Alligator mississippiensis: one gene and its partner. The protein of the gene in region 1 interacts with the protein of each later gene in a pairwise test. Links are inferred from orthologs where the notes say so. Each region holds a gene or a part of one and is shown on either strand. Other genes may lie near its edges. The genes, in order: RBFOX2 and PSMF1.

Region 1 (9,681 bases):
GTGTTAATGTAGGCACATAAAACAAAAGGCATTGTCTGCCTGAAAGTCAGCGATGCCTTTCTTATATATAAAAGTAGCACCAGTTGAAATAAAATTGAGTTTTAAATTTATTTAATTAAACAAGCGCAAAACCTCGTGTGGGCACATTTACACTGGTTTACAACTGGCCTGTATACATATCAAACAAAATTAACCACGAGTTTTAGTCACACTAGCATCTCTCATTTGGGACAAAACCTGGCATGACATGGCTTCCTATTAGCTGGAAGAAATTCCTATCAGTGTTCACTGCTATAACTTTTTGTTTTTCTAATTTTCTTTTGCTAATTTCTACCTATTTATATTTTCACTGACATCCTGTCACACTTTTAAGCTTCTCTCATTCCTGTCTTCCTGATCTTCCACTATTTCCTTTTTCACAGACAGCCTCTTTCCTACCTTGTATTCTATCACTGTAATGTCTCCCTTTGACCTTCCCCCCCAACCCCTGCTTTACCTTTTGTCTTTCTAATTTCTACCTATTTATATTCCCACTGACATCCTGCCACTCTTTTCGCTTCTCTCATTCCTCCAGCATCTCAGACCAGCAGAGACTCCCTATGCCTGAAGAAGTGTGGCAGTGCCCAACAGCTTGCCAAGAACTTTTTTCCAACTACTCAGTTGGTCTAATAAAAGACATCACATCTACTAAAAGAACCTTGCCTGTGTATATCAGAGTTCATACATTCATTCATACAATAGACTTCCATAGAATATACACAGCTTCCCTCAACACTGAGCAGCTTTTCCAGCGCAATCCTGCAGATTTACGAATTCACAAAAATACCACTTTGGCCACAGAGAAGACGAGAGTGCCTTCCGGTGACCCTTGCAGGGGCATGGAGTACTGCAAACAGCGAACGTGAAGTTCCAAACCAAGTTCAGACCATATAGTGATGCGAGAAAGGAAGGTTACAGGGAAACAAGCAGGAAAGAACAAACACACAGAAGAACTAAAACAAACAAAAAGCTCCACACCCTCCTGCTTCAAAGTAGTCAAAAAAGCCTTCAGCATGGTAACTGAATAGAAGCCAGAACAAAAAAAGTGAAGAAAACTAGTTGTGTAACTACTGGCATTTGAGAAGGGTCAGGAGAAAAAGCTCTGGGCTTTCCCTTCAGAGACAATCAACACAAGCCACAAATCCAGAAGCAACTCCGGATGAATAGCTCACACTGTTCTCAAGGCATTCCAACACCTTCAGTTCAAGAAGCAGTCGCAAGAAGCACTGAGACCACCTGCTCACTTGCCTAAGCACAATAATGCTACATTAAATATAGCCAAGGAAAAAAGAACAATATCCAGAATCCCAAACGACTCAAATAAATGCATCTGGAAAAGGAAAGCACAAAACACTGACCAAAATACACTGGGGCAAGACAACAGAATCTTTTCTCTCTGACCTGTCTACCCTCAAATCTAATGATGAGAGGTAGCACTCTCTTTGTCAACCCTGGAAATGTCTCATGTGATGTCCCCAAACCTTCCTCCTCTGTTACCAGGTACACCGACAACTATTCAATATCATTTGCAAACAAACAAGAGCAGGAGCAAGCCAAGTGTCACTGCTGACAAGAAACATGTATGTTCACTATATGAACTACCCCCTTCTACAGCATCCCCCAGGGCAGAGGTGTCATTATACAGACATGAATACAGTATAAAGAAGAGAGAGTCAGGGGGAGAAATACAGTAGTGTAGGAAGGGGAGGCCCAGTGAAGAGCAAACAGAAAAAAACTACTAGAGGAAAGGGGCCCTCAAAAAATTAAAAATGTTCACTGCAGTGACAGACAAGGTTCCTTGGGTGAATTTGATATCTTTTATTAGACCAACCTAAATGGTTGGAGAATAGTTATTAAGCAAGCTTTCGGGTTCAAAAACCCTTCGTCAGGCTAAGGAAGCTGTAGCAGTTGGTGTGCTCTTCCTGCAGTGACGTGCCCACCTGAAATCAAGAGTTCATACCCATCTTTATTAGTGCCAGAGTGGATGCTAACATGCCCTGGATGCTAACATGCCCAGTCCCCCTTGCCCCCTCATCCTGCCCATGCGGTAGGTACACTTTACTACGTACACTGAACGTAGCAGCTTGCGGTCCATCAGGCTCTAAACTAGTATGGGCTCCCCTAACTCTCTGATCTTGTCACTCAGTAAAAACTGGCTAGGGACGGGTGGAGGAACAAACAAGGCCAGTAACAAACACCTTTCACTAGCTATATGGGGAGACGTAGTTCTAGGCGGATGCCCAATTCCAGGGGGTGAGGGACTTGGTGGCAGAAAACATGTTTGAGGAGAGCAGCCCAAAACTCTCAGCCGCTGAGTGACGCAGGACTTTTAGCCTAACTATCAAGGCAATTTCCTATGAAGCAAAGCATTCAGGGCTGCGAAACAGCTCCTTGGGGACAGTGGCCTGCGCGTCGTCCTTCCTGACACACGTATGACGCCCTGACTTCGCAAAGGCCGCTCAAAGCTTGCCCGGTCAGCTGCGCACGCAGGCAGCGCGTACCTGGAGGGCAGGTGGCTCCGGCTGAGTCCAGGCAAGACGCACCAACAAGTCTGACCCCAAGTCTTACCTGCTTAAGCCAGCCCTGGGCACACTGACAAGGGGCTGCGCAACGTCAGGCTGCCCAACGTCAGGCTGCCCAGGCTGCGGGGCAGCAGGCCGCACTGCCAGCACAGAAGCAGGCGCGGTCCAAAACCCCGGTGTGAATTCAAGGCCACCCACAATGTTTGTGTTTTACCAGCAGTAAAGTTGACATCAACTTTTTTTGGAGGGGGTTTAAAGCCCTGACTATGGCGGTGCCCAGCTCCGGGCTCTGGGCCGCGGGTGGGGGCCGAGGGGCAGGACACGCCGCCCTGGGGGGGGGGGCCTCGGGAAACCACGGCTAGAGAGAGGCCGGCGGGTGGGGGCCGCTCGCTCGCCCGCCCTTTGCTCCCGCACCTGCATGCCGCCGCCCTCGGCCGCCTCCGCCTCCGTCCTCAGCCGCTTGCTGTGACCGCTCTCGGCTCCGTCCCCGCCAGGCATGGGCTGCTCCGGCTCCGGCTCCCGCTTGATGCCCCTGGGGGCCCCGCCGCCGGGGAGGAGCTGCTGGTTCTGCGGCTGGGGCTGCGGCTGAGGCTGCGGCTGGGGCTGGCTGCCGCCCTCCGCCATCCGCGCCCGCCGGACCCCGCCGCCCCGCGCGCCCTGCGGGGGCCGCCGCTGCACAGCCGCGATCCCTGCCGCCGCCCGGCCCGGCCCGGCCCGGCCCGGCCCGGTCGCTGCCTGCCCGCCTGCCCGGGGCGATGCCGCGCTTGGGCTCGGGGTCGGGGAGCACGCGCCTCGCTCCGACCGCCGCTCCACACCGTACCGCACCGCGCCGTTCGGGATCGGGCTCGCGGACTGGGCGAGAGAAGGTGGCGGGGCCCTCGGCAATCTCCGGAACCGCCGCCTGGGCGGTGCGACCCCCGCTCGGCAGCCTTCGGCCTGGGGGCGGGGCCTCGGCCGGCCGGGCGGGGCTGGGCTGGGCGGGGATGGCGGCGGCGGCTGGGCCAGTCTCGGAGGCGTGAGGCGCTGGACTGCTCCTGCCCCGCCCCGCCCCGCCCCGCCTCGCCTCGCCCGGCCCGGCCCGGCCCGGCCCGGCCCGGCCGAGCCTCGCTGCCCGGCCCCGCTCAGTGTGTTTGCAGTGGGGGGGCCGGGAATGACGCCTGGCAGGGGCCACGCGTAGGGGGTGCACATGCACCCCCTGCGGAAAGGCGCTGCCAACACTGTCGGCTGCCTGCCAGCCCCCCCCCCTCCGCTGACACCGCCGGTGGCACGTGCTGGCGGGCTGCCCTCCCCGCTGGCCGCCGCCGACACTGCCAGCAGCGTGTGCGGGTGGTCGCCAACCCCTGGTCAGCGCTCACCACCACCCAACCAACAGTGCCGGCGGCGTCTGCGGGAGCTTCAGCTTGCCGCCGCTCTCCCACCGCCGGCGCTGTGCGCCCAGCCTTGTTCATGACCCCAGGAACCCCCAACACACACGCATGGGCCAGCTCACCCTCACACGTGCCCCAACAGCCACACACCCCATCTGGGCTAGCGCAGCCCCTCACTCATCCTCCCCAACACATAGGCATGCACCCACATCCCTACACACACACCCCAACACAAGCATGCACATACCCCACCCAGGTCAGCACAGCCCCACACGCGCACCCCAACACATCCTTCCCAACACACACCCCCACACCCCCCAGGGCCAGCTCAGCCCCACACGATGCTACAAATAATCCCTCTTACTCTTTACACAGCAAAATTGGGCTCCCTGTTCCCCCTGCCATAAAGCCTTCAGAAGCTGTTTGGCTGAGCTGGCCCCAACAAACAGGTCTCCTTCCTAGCCTCCACCCCTCGACTTGACCCCGCAAGGCCTCTGGAATAAGAACTGCTGTTTGTTGGGTCAGACCACAGGTCTGTCTAGCCCAGCATCACTGGGTCACACGGTGGCAGACAGTGATCGCAGACAGGGACAGTGACCTGGGTCCGGCCAGGGTTTTTAGAATCATAGAATTGTAGAAAATGAGGGTTGGCAGGGACCTCAGGAGCTCATTTACTCCAACCCCCTGCTCAAAGCAGGACCAGCCCCAACTGGATCATCCCAGCCAAGGCTTTGTCTAGCTGGGTCTTAAAAACCTCCAAGGACGAAGAGTCTACCACCTCTCTGGGTAACCTGTTCCAGTGCTTTACTACCCTCCTAGTGAGAAAGTTTTTCTTAATATCTAACCTAAACTTCCCTGCTGCAACTTGAAACCATTGCTCCTTGCTCTGTCGTCTGCCACCACTGGGCACTTGTATACATGACACCATTACCATGTCCGCATGACAAAAATGTCACTTTGTGTGGCTTGATGGCGTCACATGGCATGTGCAAGACTTTTGAGGGTGTTAAGTGAGTTTGCATGGTTGCAAACTAAACTACATCTGGATGTAGTAGTTTGCAACATTGCAAATTGCAACAATCCAGCTGTCAACTCACCACCCCCCTAGCTGCAGGAGAAACAAGACGGCTCCATAGAAAAACAGGATCGGGCCCTTCTCTGCTTCTGCTTTCAGCAGGCTCCTCCGGCTGGCAGGATGCCTGGGGCCATCCGGGAATGGGATGGTTTGTCCCTAGGGCAGTGCAGGACAGCAGCAGGAGGGCAGCTGGGTTTGCTGGCAGCTGGAAGAGGTGGCGGGGATGGTGCACGAAGCCCTGGAAGCTTGGGTGGGCTCAGGGAAGCATTGCATTGGGCACCTCTGAGCTGGGGCAGCACCTGGCCAGCTAACAGTTCACCCGGGCTTCCAGCGCTCTGTGCACCATCCCTGATGCCTTCTCCAGCTGCCAGCTAACCCAGCCACTCTCCTGCAGCCTTCCCGCGCTGCCCCAGGGGCAAGCCAGCCCATTCCTAGGTGGCCCCAGGCATCTTACCAGCCACAGGAGCCTGCCAAAGACAGAAGTAGTCATGCATGAACAACGCATGCCCCCGGCAGCTGGGGGAGCATGGTGGCTGCAGGAGCGCAGTGGTGGTAAGCAGGGAAGCTCCTGCAGGCGCTGTCAGTGGCAGGAGGGGAGGGGAGTGGGGGCGAGTGCCGACCAGGGGTCAGCAACCACCCACAGACCAGCAGGGATTGTGAACCGCCCACAGATGGCACCATTGGTGTCGGCTGCAGGGTGGCAAGCAGCGACTGCCCACAGGTGTCACCGACAGTGTTAGCAGCACCTTTTAGTAAGGGGTGCACCACCACGCTCAGGGGATGCACATGCACCCACGTCCACCCGCTACATGTCACCCCTGCAGTCATGGCCCAATCCTCTTTTTGTATTTTGGCAGAGCCTGCCTGCCTCTCCCGTGGCCAGAGGCTGAGCTGCCGGCAGGCCAAGTGGCCCCTGATCTGTTGGGGAACTAGTCCTTCCCTCCGCGGTGGCGGTGCACCCCAGGGCCATGGGCTGCTAGCAGGCCGGGTCAGGGCCAGCCCATCCTATCCTGCAAAACCTGCGGCCACAGGGGGCCCCACAGCCAAGGGACCCCTAGCGTCCAGCCACTCACCACCCCCACCCCCTGCCACTTCATGGGCCTTAAGGCCCACCCATCTAACTAATAGCCCCCACTGTGTGAAGCCAAAGGGTGAAAGACACAACTAATTTTTTTAATTTGGGGGGGGGGGGGGGACAACTGAGGAAAAAGCAGGATAGGCGTGACCAGGGGTTCAAGGGTCAAAATGTGAAAATAAGTGCGCCGGGGGGGAACGACACTGAGTAGAGCCCCCCATCCCACACCCACTGGTCCTCAAAGACATCCAAGCAGCTGGTGGAGGCTGCCCATTGATGCTCTGCCTGGAAACATGCATGGATGAGTGAGAGGAAAGGAGCCCCGCATTCCTCAGGCACCTTCCTGGCCAGCGCCTCCTTCCTAGTTATGTACAGGGCCCACTTGGCCAGGGCCAGGAGGAGGTTGACCAGGAAGTCCCGGGACTTGGTGGGGCTGCAAATGGAGTGCCCAAAAATAAAAAGGTGTGGGGGTGAAATTCATCCAGAACCTCAGGAGGAGGTTCAGAAGGTGGAGGTGGAGGTGTTGCATCCTGGCGCACTTGAGTGTCATGTGCGCAGGGGTGACGCATAGAGGGTGCACATGGGTGCACGTGCACCCCCTGAGCTTGGCGGTGCACCCCCTACAAGAAGGGGGACCGCCACCTGCAGGCGGTCACTGCTTACCACTCCCACCGCTGACACTGGCAGCGGCATCTGTGGGCAGTCAGCGATCACCGCTGGCCAATGCTGATGCTGCTGGTAGTGTCTATGTTTGTCTGGTTGGGGCTCGCCTGCCCCCCTATGATGATACTGTTGTTGGCGTCTGTGGGAGCTCCTGCTTACTGCCACCGCACTCCTGCTGCCATCATGCCCCCCCAGCCGCCAGGGGCATGCATCATTCCTGCATGTGTGCCAGGGCCTGTGAAGCTCACCACATATATGCCTGTGGTGATGGCTCCATGGAGGAGCCACCAGCTGAGGTCCCCAGTGGCTTGTGGGATGAAGGCAAAGTATAGGCTAAGCCACTGGGGTGCCCCAGCCATGCCCTCACTGAGCAGGTCCCGCCACTTGGTGTCTGGGCAGGATGTGAGGGCAACATGATGGATAGTGCGGCACATGAGCATTTAGAGGTGGCAGCGACAGACAGTGGAAAAACAGACCGGTTTGGTGTCCTCCAGCCGGCTCAGGTGGTGGGATGGGGAGTGCTGTGAGGCTAGGTGAGGCGCCAGCCTCAGCAGCTCACTGCTGGCTGCAGGCAGGCTCCAACTCCAAAAAGAAAAAAAAAATGATCAGGCCCCCTGCTGTAACACGATGGAAAAACTGAAGCAGCGGGTTTCAATTAAAAACCCACCACTTCGATTTAAGGGGCATAGAGGAAAACTCTGAGGGCTAAACCCCTGTCATATGTACAAGCACCCATTGAGAACAAGTCTAGTTGCAACCTCCTAGGAACCCCTCTTCAGGTAGTTGAAGGCTGCTATTAAATCCCCCCTCAGTCTTCTCTCCTCCAGACTAAATAAGCCCAGTTCCCTCAACCTCAGTTCATAAGTCATGTGTCCCAGCCCCCTAACCACTTTCATTGCCCTCCACTGAACTCTCTGTAATTTGTCCACATCCTTTCTGTAAGGGGCGAGGGGCACTGTTTTTCCCACTGTTCCTCTCCCACTTGCAGCTTGCAGCATTTAAACTCTAGAAAGTTCTTATTCAGAGGCCATCCCCCTGCCTCCCATGCTCAAATCGCTCCTTCCCCTTTGCTTTTCCTTGCAATTCTCAGCACTAGACTTTGTTTCCCACCATGCTCCTACTTGCCCGTCTTGGCTAAGCATGTTTAGAGTGCATCATAATCTCACTGAGCTAAGTAATCTTGTTTCATTGGCAGATTTTACCATGAAACTGTTTATCCTCTGTTTTCCAGACTGTCAGCAAGCAGTGTAGGTCTCAGAGTGCCCTTTGAGAGCATCGCATCATTAATCTCTTTTGTCATGTTGAAAAATTACTATTTATACCTACTTGATTGCCCATCTCATAGGACCCACATACCAGAAATTTTTCCCAGTTATACACTATAATTAAACAAATAGTTACATTAGTAAACTCTCTATATAGACATTGGCAATTCCAGAAGCAGTGACTTCTCATTTAGCTTAGGCCTCTTCCACAGTGACATACACTAAATGGAAATAAAATCACTCATTCCAGAGCAAGTGTCAACAGACATCATCCGTGTATAACTATATGGCAGTAATTCTTAACTGGACTGATGCAGCACCTTAGGGTGCTATGATATCCTTTTAAAGGTGCTGTCCTGCACTGCTACCAGGTGGAACTGTCCCTTTGTGCCTCTGTTTCCAGAAGACATTATACAGGGCTAGATCTGGAAAGCAGTTGAGGCAGGAAAGGGGTGCCCTGCTGCAGCCTGGCCTGATGGAAGGGAAGGCAAGATATAGTAAAAACTGCTCCTGCACTTCCCAGTGGGTCAGGGGCACCTGCTGGACTTTGTGTATCATGGCATATCTCCCTTGCACAACAAAAAGGATGGGCTCCCTCTGCCTTCATCTGCAGAGGGTGCCACTAAATTCAGAAAAGCTCTGGAGTTTAAAAAGGTTGAAAATCACTGTTATATGGGTTTAAATTCACACCTTATTTTATATTGTTGTAAGTTAAGCCTTGCTGCCGCAGAAGTGGTTTGATGATGTAGCTAGGTCTCTCCCATGTTCTCCGGCTCAGCTTCACATTTATTATCCATTCAGGCCTCTTGTTATCTGCAAATTGACACAGGCAGCAATCTGCACAGATCTGAAGTCTTTTCCTCACCTCTCTGTATTTCTCCATTGTTTGTGCCCCATATAATAAAACTGACTTTAGATTTGTACCAAAAGTCCAATGTTTGTTCTTCAATCTAATTGGTCTCAACTTCTAAACTAGTTTAACAGGAACAAAATACTACTTGGATTTTCCCTGTTCTAGGGCATATATTTGTGCTGCCACCACAACAGATGACAATACCTCCAAGATAAGTGAACTTCCCTGTTCACTTCAGTGCGCCCTGCTGCACTTTTGTTCTTACTGGTTTTGTTGTAAGTACTTCTAGTGTACACATAGCTTTAGACTGAAGTTATCATCACCATCATCTGGCTCTTGGTTAGATGGTTTGGATGAAGCTATTTACCATGTAAACTATCCAACAGGTTTGCTGTACTGGGACTGGGCATTGCTCTATATGCTCAGGCATCCTACCTTACAATTATTATTCACTGATGCTTCAGGGGAAGGCAGTAAAAAACAAACAAACCCCACCACACACAATGATCCTACCAGTAGTGAATTTGTGGAATTGAGAAGTCCTTCTTGACTCCCTAGCTATCATCTTATGCCCTGTAGCCTGAGAATCAATTAGCCTTATCTTAGTTTATGGTTACAACTGTTACTAATCTTCATTAAATTACCCAGGCTTCAGTTTTGAATTCCAGTTGTTACGCTTGGCTTCAGCCACCCTATATGCTTTATTTTTCCCGTTACAGAAATAGTTTTCAAGGTTACATTAAAAATAGTATGTTTTTGCTATTAGGTGCCAGTGTTCAAGTACCTTTTTTAAAACAATTATAAAGCTACATGAAATGGCAC
Region 2 (9,335 bases), on another chromosome or scaffold:
TACATTCATACTAATGAGAGCAGAGGGGAGTTACTGCTTGACTCAACACGCAAGGGCAACCAACTGAAACGGCGCTCAATTATAGACACATGGAGCTGAATTCACCCCGAGGATAGCTCAGTTGTCACTGATGCGTCCATCCTCCCAGAGAGCCATTGCTGAAGACAAAGCAATTAGAGCCTCCTTCGTCCCACCCAGAACTGGCAGCCATTTCGGCAAGGGGAAGGGAAAAGAAACGAAGCGGCGATGCCGAGAGGAGGGCCCTCCCCAGCCAGCGGGGATGTTCAGGCTGGCACTTGGATGGGAGAGGCAAAATCCAAGCCTTCGGCTCCAATTAGAGTCCGCCTGGGACGGAGCGGGGCCGGGCCGCCGGAAAGTTGCCTCACTTCTGCGCTCGTGGGGCAAAGTTTCCACTGGAAAGAAACCAAACATCCACGGAACTGAAAGTCCAGCTGGGCCGAGCAAACTCGCGCGGACAGGCAGATGGATGGGCAAACCTATGCACCAGGGCTGGATAAATCTCCCGTGCGCAGGGGTCGACTGCTGCCCACAAGCCGGCTGTGCCAGGCTACAAGGCTTGTGCCACTCGCAGCTCCGCGCTGCAAGATGTCTGTGGAAACCGTGCGAGCTGCGGCTCCGGATGAGTCCTGGGGACACCCCAAGCTGTTTTTACGTGGGCCCATCAGTCCTCCTGGCATGTTTTCAATTTGGAGGCAGGACGTCCTTGACACTTCGAGTGAAGTTTCTGGATTGAACGCTCAGGATTGCAGGCGCCAGGCTAGACAATAGGGACGGTTTGGAAAAACGGATCAATGAAATACGATGTGGATGGGAGCACGGGGGAATCCGCTTGGCCACATGTCCACGGATGAAAGGTCAGCATGAGTGGAGGGGAGCCAGGCTGCCACGAATGTCTGCAAAGCATTACTGCTGCCCTTCTGAAACGAGACGTGTGATGGACGGATGGAAACTCTGCCTGGGCTCGGCATGGCGGGCCGGGTGTGAATCATTTGCAAAGGGCTGGAAACCGTTCTGCTGCTGTCATTTCCTGCCATTCCCAGCTGAATCAGGCACGGCGGAGCTGCCTTCCTTCTTAACGAGCTTCAACTGTGGGGCTGCTCCTGCCAAGCTGTTACTGAAGGGGGGCAGGGGATGTTCTCACCCATGCCACCATGCATTCGAGACCAGGGAGTTTGCCCATCTCCCCGTGCCCCTGCCGCCGTGTTTCTGATGCCAGACCTGGCCTCGGCTGCTTCCAGATAGACCCGTGCAGTCAAGCCCCTGCTCTCGGACCCGCCTGTACCGCAGCGTTGCTTCAAACTTCTGATGCCACAACCCGGAGCTGCCCCTTCATGTGTCGGGAGAGCATGAAGTCGAGAGCATACGCTCCAGCTCCCGCAGACAGGATTTCTGCAGGCGCCCGGGCCTCTCCTCGCTGCACGAGCATCCGGTGCAAAGCCAGAGGCCGGATCCCTACAGACTCCCACGCAGCCAGGGCGTCAGAGACAGCTTCCAGCCTCGCAGGGAGCCAGGACAGACAGGCGAGGTTAGCAAGAGGTGTGACTCCGCCTCGGCCCTGCCACGAGGGGAGATGAATCATGCTTGCGAGTGGCGGCTGTGAGGCATCGCTCCTTCAGGCGTGGTGCATCTTCCAGGGGAGCCGGAGGACTTGCCCTGAGTTATCTCCACTCGGTGCTTATTAATTATGTTGAATCACAGCCTCCCGAAGGGCAGGGAGCTCCACTCCAGAAAGGACAGGGTGCCTGCAGCGAAATGCTATGCTCTTGCCCTGCTGTCCCAGCCAAAACCTACTCCCACCAAAGTCCAGAGCATAAACTTCCCTGAGTCCCAACAGGGAAAAGCATTGGGCCTTTGGGTATCTGCCAAGGTGGGAAGGCAGGGGCTTTCTGGAAAAGCTCGCTTTGAGCAGAGCCCATTTCCTAACACTCATGAAATTAAGCGTGCAAGATTTATTTGCCATAAGCCAGGGAGATCCAGGAAGCCGTCCGTTCTACGAGCCAACGTGGTGATTCCCAAAGAGCATCCCTCCTATACGCCAGCTCGGTCTGGACCGCTCTGACTTGCCCCCAGTGACGTCTGGCTTGCCGCTTTCCTGACAACGTATCTGCCGCCGAGCTCCTATGGGCGGAAATGAATTGGGTCTAGAAAGGAAAGTTACTGAAGCTATTGCAACCGCTCCTTGCACAGCGAGGAAGTCCGGTGCATATATTAGAAATGATGCAGGTCATGATAGGCATAGAAATAGCCTTGCTACAATAAACTGCTGAAAAGCCGCCTGGTGCTATTGCGATAGGTGTCTGAGAGATGCCAAAGGGGCTGTTAGTCTAAAAGCTCAGCGGTGAGCTCGAAGGCCACTTGGATGTGGTGCGATACACTCTTTTTCTTTAAAATAGCTTCTGTCAGCCAATGTCTTGGTCTGCTAGTGGCAAGCCCTGCTTCGGAGAGGCCGGGGGTGCAAAAGCATGGATCAGACTCTAGCAAACCATAGGCAGTGGGTTTGCAAATGGTTTTCTAATAGCTGCTGGTTGAAAATGCACGTCTGCTTTGCAGGCCCAGAGGGCACAACTGTATATGCTGGTCTGCAAACCAGAACTGGCCCTTTTGCACGTGCAGCTGCTGGATGTATGTTCATCCAGCAGCTGCACGTGCAAAGTCCACACGTGCATGTCCGTCCCCCTTATGCAGGGGGTCGGACTTGATGATCTATTGAGGTCCCTTCCGACCCTAACGTCTATGAATCTATGAATCAAATGCACGTACAAGTTAGACTCTCGGGTCCATGTTTGCCGAGCTGGACATGAGGGCACTGGAGGCAGCAGCAGGTGCTATTTGCAGTGACTTTCTGGAGCTGCATATGGCACCTTGTGTCCCCTTTGCCGGGTGCATCTGCAGTCAGGTGTGATCCAGGGCTCGGGCCCTTTGCTCTCGTCCTGCATCAGCAGCAGGGAAGGGTGGTGAGAACGAGCAAGCCAGGCAGCCAAACTCTGCTCTTCCCCCATCCAACGAGAGACCCCGATGGACTGGGATAACCGCAGGAAAAGGTGGAAGGCAGCTGGTTACCAGGGAAGCCGTTTCTCTGGAAGAAGACAGATAGCCCTCGTTAGCTGGGGGCTGAGATAAGACCAGCACTGACCGCCTGTGAAGAGCTTCCATGCTCCAAGCACTGTGCGGGCATCATGAATGGAGCCTCCCACGGCCCCCCGAGATGGAAGAGCGTTATCCCCTTTTGTGGACAGGGATGTTGGGACCCAAAGGCCCTGGCTGCTGTGCTGGGATCCCAGGGGCTGCTTTCTGAATGCCCTGACCTCCAAACACTCCCGCTAGCTGCAGCTGGGTCCAGGCTCTGCATTTCATGCAGGGCACCCCGTGTCGGCAGCCTCTTTGGGCCTGTGGAAAGACAGGCCAGGAGGGACTTGCAAAGCCCAAGTGAAGCACCCCTGGCTCTTAGGTCCTGTCTGCAGCAACCAGCCACCTCCCTTCCCCAAAACCCAGACAGCTTCCAACGTGGACAAATTGGAGAGTCCAGCGGAGGGCAACGAAAATGGCTTGGGGCCCGGGGACAGGACTGGTGAGGAGAGGCTGAGGGAACTGGGCCGATTGAGTCTACAGAAGAGAAGACCGAGAGGGGATTGAATAGCAGCCTTCAGCTCCCTGCAGGTGGTCCCAAAGAGGATGGGGCTGGGCTGGTGGCAGATGAGAGAACAAGGAGCAACGGGCTCCACTTGCAGCATCCCTGGAGCTGCAGGGAGAGGAGCTGGAGCAGGGAGGGGTTTGGCAGGAGCGTCCGTGGGGTTTGCAAAAGCATCGGGAGCCCTCTAGCGTGTGCCGTGCCGCGCCGCTCCGGATGATGGAGAGAGAAGCCTGGAAAGATGACACAGGAAAGGGGAAACGAATCCTACCCTCTGGAGCAGCTCGCACCCAGCCCGGAGCCAGCTCCGGCTCCTGTAACAGGATGCTGACATTGCCAGCCCCGCTGCCCAGCACCTCTGCCATGCACACGCAGGGGAAAGGATTGGATCCTGCCCGGGCACCTGCGCGTGAGCCCCACTTCTCCCAGGGCAATCCCACTGCCTCCTGGAAGCGGCTGCCGCATGGATGCAGCTGCCGCGTGGATGCTCAGGGGCTGCGGGCAGGGGCGAGGACAGGCCGTGCCCAGCCCTGGGACAGCTCAGAACATGGAACTCGGGGCCCTTGTCACCTCACCCGTCACCCAGCAACCGCCAGGCCATAAACCGGCAGGGCCCCAGGCTGCCGGCCTCCCCCACCTCCCTTTGCATCCCCGCGCCTGGAGCCGGAGCAGGGCCCACAGGAGAGGCAGGAGCCTGGGAAGGTCGGTGACATGCAGGGCAGCGCCCGGTCCCAGACCCTCCCTCCAAACTCGGTTCTGGGAGCCAGGTTGGCACGGGGCCCCGCGTGGGCGCTGGATTCACGCGTGCATCTGCGTGATGCTCAGCACCACTAGCGCTGTGCAGACGGGCAGTGCGGCCCTTCTCTGCCAGGCACCTCTGGAGCCGCTTCACTCCAGCCCTGCCCGGGTGCAGGGAGGGGACGGGCCGGGGCAGGGGCAGGGGCCGGCCTCCGGGTTGGGGACACGGAAAACACTGCCTCCTTCCTGGGGGCAAACCCCCCAACACGCACGTGTCACCCTGGCCCTTGCCCCTCAATACACACACACACACACACGTATGATCCTAACTCTTGCCCCCCCCCATGCACACACTCACATGTGACCCTGGCATTTGGCCTCCCACCACATGCACATGACCCTGTTTCCCCCCCCCCCCCCCCACACACACACACACACACACACACACACACACACACGATCCTAACTCCTGCCCTCCCAATGCACACACCCACACCCATGTGTGACCCTGGCCTTTGGTCCCCAACACACACACACACACACACACACACACACACACACACACACACACACACACACACACAATCCTAACTCCCGCCCTCCCAATGCACACACCCACACCCATGTGTGACCCTGGCCTTTGGTCCCCAACACACACACACACACACACACACACACACACACACACACACACACACGATCCTAGCTCTCCCCTTCCCCATGCACACACCCATGCGTGACCCTGGCCCTTGGTCCCCAACACACACACATACACACGTGATCCTAGCTCTTGCCCTCCCCATGCACACACCCACGTGTGACCCTGACATTTGGCCCCCCAACACACACACACACACACGTGCATGCAACCGACACACTGGCTCTTCCCCCCCCAAGACATACACATGCGCACACACAATGACCCCTCCCCCCAACACACGCACGCGTCCGCCCACGTGTGTGCCGCGCCGCCCCGCGCCGCCCCGCCCCTCCCGCAGCGTGTGCCCGCCCACAGGAGGCGGTGCCGTGCGGGGCGGGGCGGGGCGGGGCGGCGCAGCTGCGCAGCCGGGAACGAGCATGGCGGGGCTGGAGGTGCTGCACGCGTGGGCGCTGGCGGGGCTGAGCCGGGCGCAGGACGCGCTGCTGTGCGCCGTGCACTGGGAGCTGGTCACGCAGGGCTACCGCTGCCTGGGCGCCGGCGACCGGGTGAGTGCGGGGCGACCCCCCAGCCCGCTTTCGCTTTCGCTTCTGCCAGTGCTGGGGCACGGCACCCGTCCCTTGTGGCAGGCCCTTAGGGGCGGCCTAAGGGGGTCTGTGCATGCCGCCGCCCTGAGCCGTGCTTGCCCCCCAGGCGGGTCCCAACGAGAGGAAGTCGGAGCTGCTGCCGGCAGGGTGGCACGTGGACAAGGAGCTGTACACGCTGCGGTACCAGGCCCAGGACGACAGCCAGGAGCTGCTGCTCAAGGCCATCATGGTGGACACCAGCATGATCCTCAATGTCATGGTGAGCCCACGCCTGGGGGGAGCTCGGGGCCCTCCCTCGTGCCCAGGCAGCTCCATCCCCGACGCCACGGGTGGGAGACGTGCCCCGGGGACCCAGCTGCCCTGGCAGCTTGGGTGTGCAGGCGGGGAGCGGGCCGTGGCGCCTGCTCCCATCCGCTGGCAGCTGACACGGCCCTTCCTTGCCCTCGCCCAGGACCGCAGCTCACTGCAGGTGGCGGACGTGACCTTGAACGTGGCGGACTACGTGGACCCGGAGCACCTGGACGACTTCCACATGTAACTGCCCGGGCGAGCGGGGCTGGAGCCATTGAGAGCCAGGGAGGGGCAGCAGCGAGGGGCAGCCCGGCACGTCCCTGGCTGCGAGCGGGGAAGCTTTGCGCCCACACGTGGGTAGCTGCAGCCATGGGCCGGGTCTGCCAAGGGGCCACGGGCTTTTCAGTGGGTCCTTGCGGTATTTTGAACATGTGCGGTGCCACGTTCCCATCGCACTCACCCCTACGGGGGTCCTGTAAGAAGATACAGGGTAGAGGAGCGTGTGCCTGGACGGGGCCAGCCAGGGGATGAGAGGCGCCTGTTCCCCCCTGTCCTCCCTGCAAGCTGCCATTACAGGAGTGGGCAATTATTTTGGGCAGAGGGCCACTTACTGAGTTTTGGCAAGCCATCGAGGGCCACGTGACAGGCAGCTGGGGGGTAGATAAATATTAATTTTCTAAATTTTTTAGGGACCTCGCAGGCTGGATAGAATGGCCTGGCAGGCCACATCTGGCCCCCGGGCTACGTTTTGCCCACCCTTGTGCTAGCACGATGGCCCAGCTCCCCAATCCCTCAGGCTGGCAGTGGGGCAGGTGGCCCCAGCGTGTGCCCAGCAGCCATCCCTCTCCGTCCCCGCAGGGTGTACAAGAACGTGGAGGAGCTGAGGACGAGGATCGTCTCGGGCATCATCTCCCCATTCAGGACTGACAAGGAGAAGGACAACAAGAAGGAGTCCAAGCCGGAGAGGACGGTCCCACCAGCTTCCCACCACGACTACGACCCCCTGAGGATCCCGCCCCGGCAGCCCCCGCTCAGCAGGGAGCCCCCCTGGTGAGTGGGGTGGAGGGGGCAGGAAGGGGGTGGCAGAGCACAGAGGCCACCTGTGCTGCCCCCATGCGCCCCGTGTCCCCTCCCAGCTGCCTTCTCCCCAGCCTTGGTGTTGCACCATGGCTCTGAAGGATGCAGGAGCAGCCCCAAGCCCCCTCACCCCATGTCTGCCCACGTTGGCTGGCAGAAGAAGGAGCCAGCAGGTGTAGTTTTCAGCTGGCAGGTGTGTTTCGGAGTCGTGGGGGTGCAGGACCCTGCCACCAGCATCCCTGGCAAGGAGCTGTGGGTGAAATGGGGGCTGGAGAGTGCCCTGTGAAAACCCCCTCCCCACCTGGGCCCTACAGGACACTGACCTGCACGCCTTGCTCTCCAGGCCACGGCACCAGTGTCCACGTGCACAGGGGCTGGCCCAGTGCCTGGGGCTGGCCATGGCAGTGCCGGCTCCAGGTCTGCAGCACACTGGAGCTGGGCATGGTCCCAGTGAAGAACCGCAGCCTCCACTGCTAACACGCTCTGACACGCACCCTGTGCATGTCCGCCACATCCTCCTGCTCCCTCGCGCTGCCTCCTGCACGTGGCACCCCACCGAAGTGCACGGCTCTGTATAGCTGGTGTCCCGCCTCGCAGTCACTGTGTCTTGTCTTGCAGGCCATCTCCCCTGGGCCCCTTTGCAGTGGGCGGAGAGGACCTGGACCCCTTTGGGTGAGTATGGCTGGGGAGATGGGGCGCTCCACCCACCTCCACAGCCTTTCCGGTGCCCCCTTGGAAGTGAGAGCAGCCGTGTCCTGCTTGTGGTGGGGTGGGATGCATTGGATGCCTCCAAAATCCCTTAAATCAATTCGTGCCTAGGTTTCCCATGTGGATGCCGGTGGGGCAGTTGCTGCATGCAGAGGGCAAGGGACTCCCCCTTGGTGCTGGCAAAACCCAAATGTGGTTTTGATCTCACAATGGGCTCCTACAGCTTGGGGCGCCTGAATAATCAGCTTGGATTCATTTAACACGCAGTAATTCCTCTGATAAGACGAGGCTGACCATGAAGCTCAGGGCGTGTAAGCCTTGCATTTAGCATGTTGCCAGCTGTCACCTCGGTGGCCCCGAAAGCTGGTGGAAGGGAGGGGGGAAGGATTTGCCCCCTTCTCTGGTCCCATATGTGACCCTGCAGCATGAGCTCGGCAGGAGCCTTTGGGCTGGGGCCAGGAGGATGCCGGACTGATGCATCACGTCTGCTGTGTGCACCAGCCTCGCCTGTTGTGGGGAAGCCATCCGCAGTCAGAGGGGAACACAGCCAAGCTGGGCAGAGCTAGGAGCAATGACCTCAAGTGGCAGCAGGGAAGAATTTAGGCTGGAGATGAATTTTCTGACTCTGAAAGAGGTCAGGCATTGCAACAGGAGCCCAGAGGAGTTGTGTAATCTCCATCCCGGGACGTTTTCAAAAGCGGGTTGGGATGGTTTAGCTGGTGATGCTCCTGGCGTGAGCAGGGGGCTGGACTAGACGTGACTTTGTGAGGTCCCTTCCTGTGATCCTACACTAGAACCAGCCCCTGGAGACACGAGCCAGCTCCTCACCGCCCCGGAGGCCCGGGATCAGATTTTTGCCTTTTTGGAGGGCAGGCAGGAGGGCTGGAAAAGAGCCAAGGGGTGGATGTAGAGTGATCCTAGGCTAAAACAGACACCCGGTCGGATGTGGCCCTGCATTGGCTGGCATATCGCTCACATCCAAACAGGCACAGACAGTTGTTTACACACAAGCTTCAATGGCAATTAGCTTGAATTAGCCGTGACCAAAGCAATGCATCGATTTGAATAGGTACCTAATGCTCCGCGGTCTGTAACGTCTGGATTTGAGGCAGCACAAAACGCTCTGATGTGATCCAACCGGTTGTCTGTTTTTAGCCCCACGTAGCAGCGAGAGGGGATGGGGAAGGCGCCATGCTCCACTGCTCTCACAAAGGCATTTCATCTTCAGTGCAATGACCTCTCTAGGAGGCACCAGGTAGAGGTAGCACCGGCGGTTAAGGTGGCCTAAGACAGAAGAGGGGTTTCCTTGGGCCTGGGGTCTGTCCACAGCTCATCAGTGTGCAGCGCAGGCTGTGCCATGTTTCTGGTCGTGCTACCAAACGCATCTCTGCCCCCATACCAGGGCAGACAGGCCCAAAGGCTGCCCTGGCCAGGCCTTAGGAGAAGGGCATGGTTCTCAGCACCCTGGGGCTGCGCTGCATCGCCAGCATGGAGCACAGGGGCCTGCTTGCACATGAGAATCGGGCCACAGGTCTCACTGGTCCAGGTGCAAGCATGCAAGGGCAGGTCGTGCTGCATCCTGCGCCTCTCCCCATGGAGCCGATGCTGACCCTGCTCTCCTTTTCCT

What was found.
Region 2: the proteins of RBFOX2 (region 1) and PSMF1 interact in a two-hybrid assay, tested with the Homo sapiens proteins (2 studies listed by BioGRID and IntAct). The two-hybrid records come from large-scale screens. The link is inferred for Alligator mississippiensis from reciprocal best matches to the Homo sapiens genes RBFOX2 and PSMF1.

The regions. Positions count from the first base shown.
Region 1 is NC_081827.1:101,110,074-101,119,754, reverse strand, and holds the start of RBFOX2 (RNA binding protein fox-1 homolog 2), read right to left. Parts: upstream 3,469-9,681; 5' UTR 3,186-3,468; coding exon 2,976-3,185; intron 1-2,975. UniProt on the Homo sapiens protein: RNA-binding protein that regulates alternative splicing events by binding to 5'-UGCAUGU-3' elements. Prevents binding of U2AF2 to the 3'-splice site.
Region 2 is NC_081832.1:1,941,118-1,950,452, forward strand, and holds the start of PSMF1 (proteasome inhibitor PI31 subunit), read left to right. Parts: upstream 1-5,434; 5' UTR 5,435-5,464; coding exon 5,465-5,593; intron 5,594-5,738; coding exon 5,739-5,891; intron 5,892-6,083; coding exon 6,084-6,166; intron 6,167-6,781; coding exon 6,782-6,973; intron 6,974-7,618; coding exon 7,619-7,672; intron 7,673-9,335. UniProt on the Homo sapiens protein: Plays an important role in control of proteasome function. Inhibits the hydrolysis of protein and peptide substrates by the 20S proteasome. Also inhibits the activation of the proteasome by the proteasome regulatory proteins PA700 and PA28.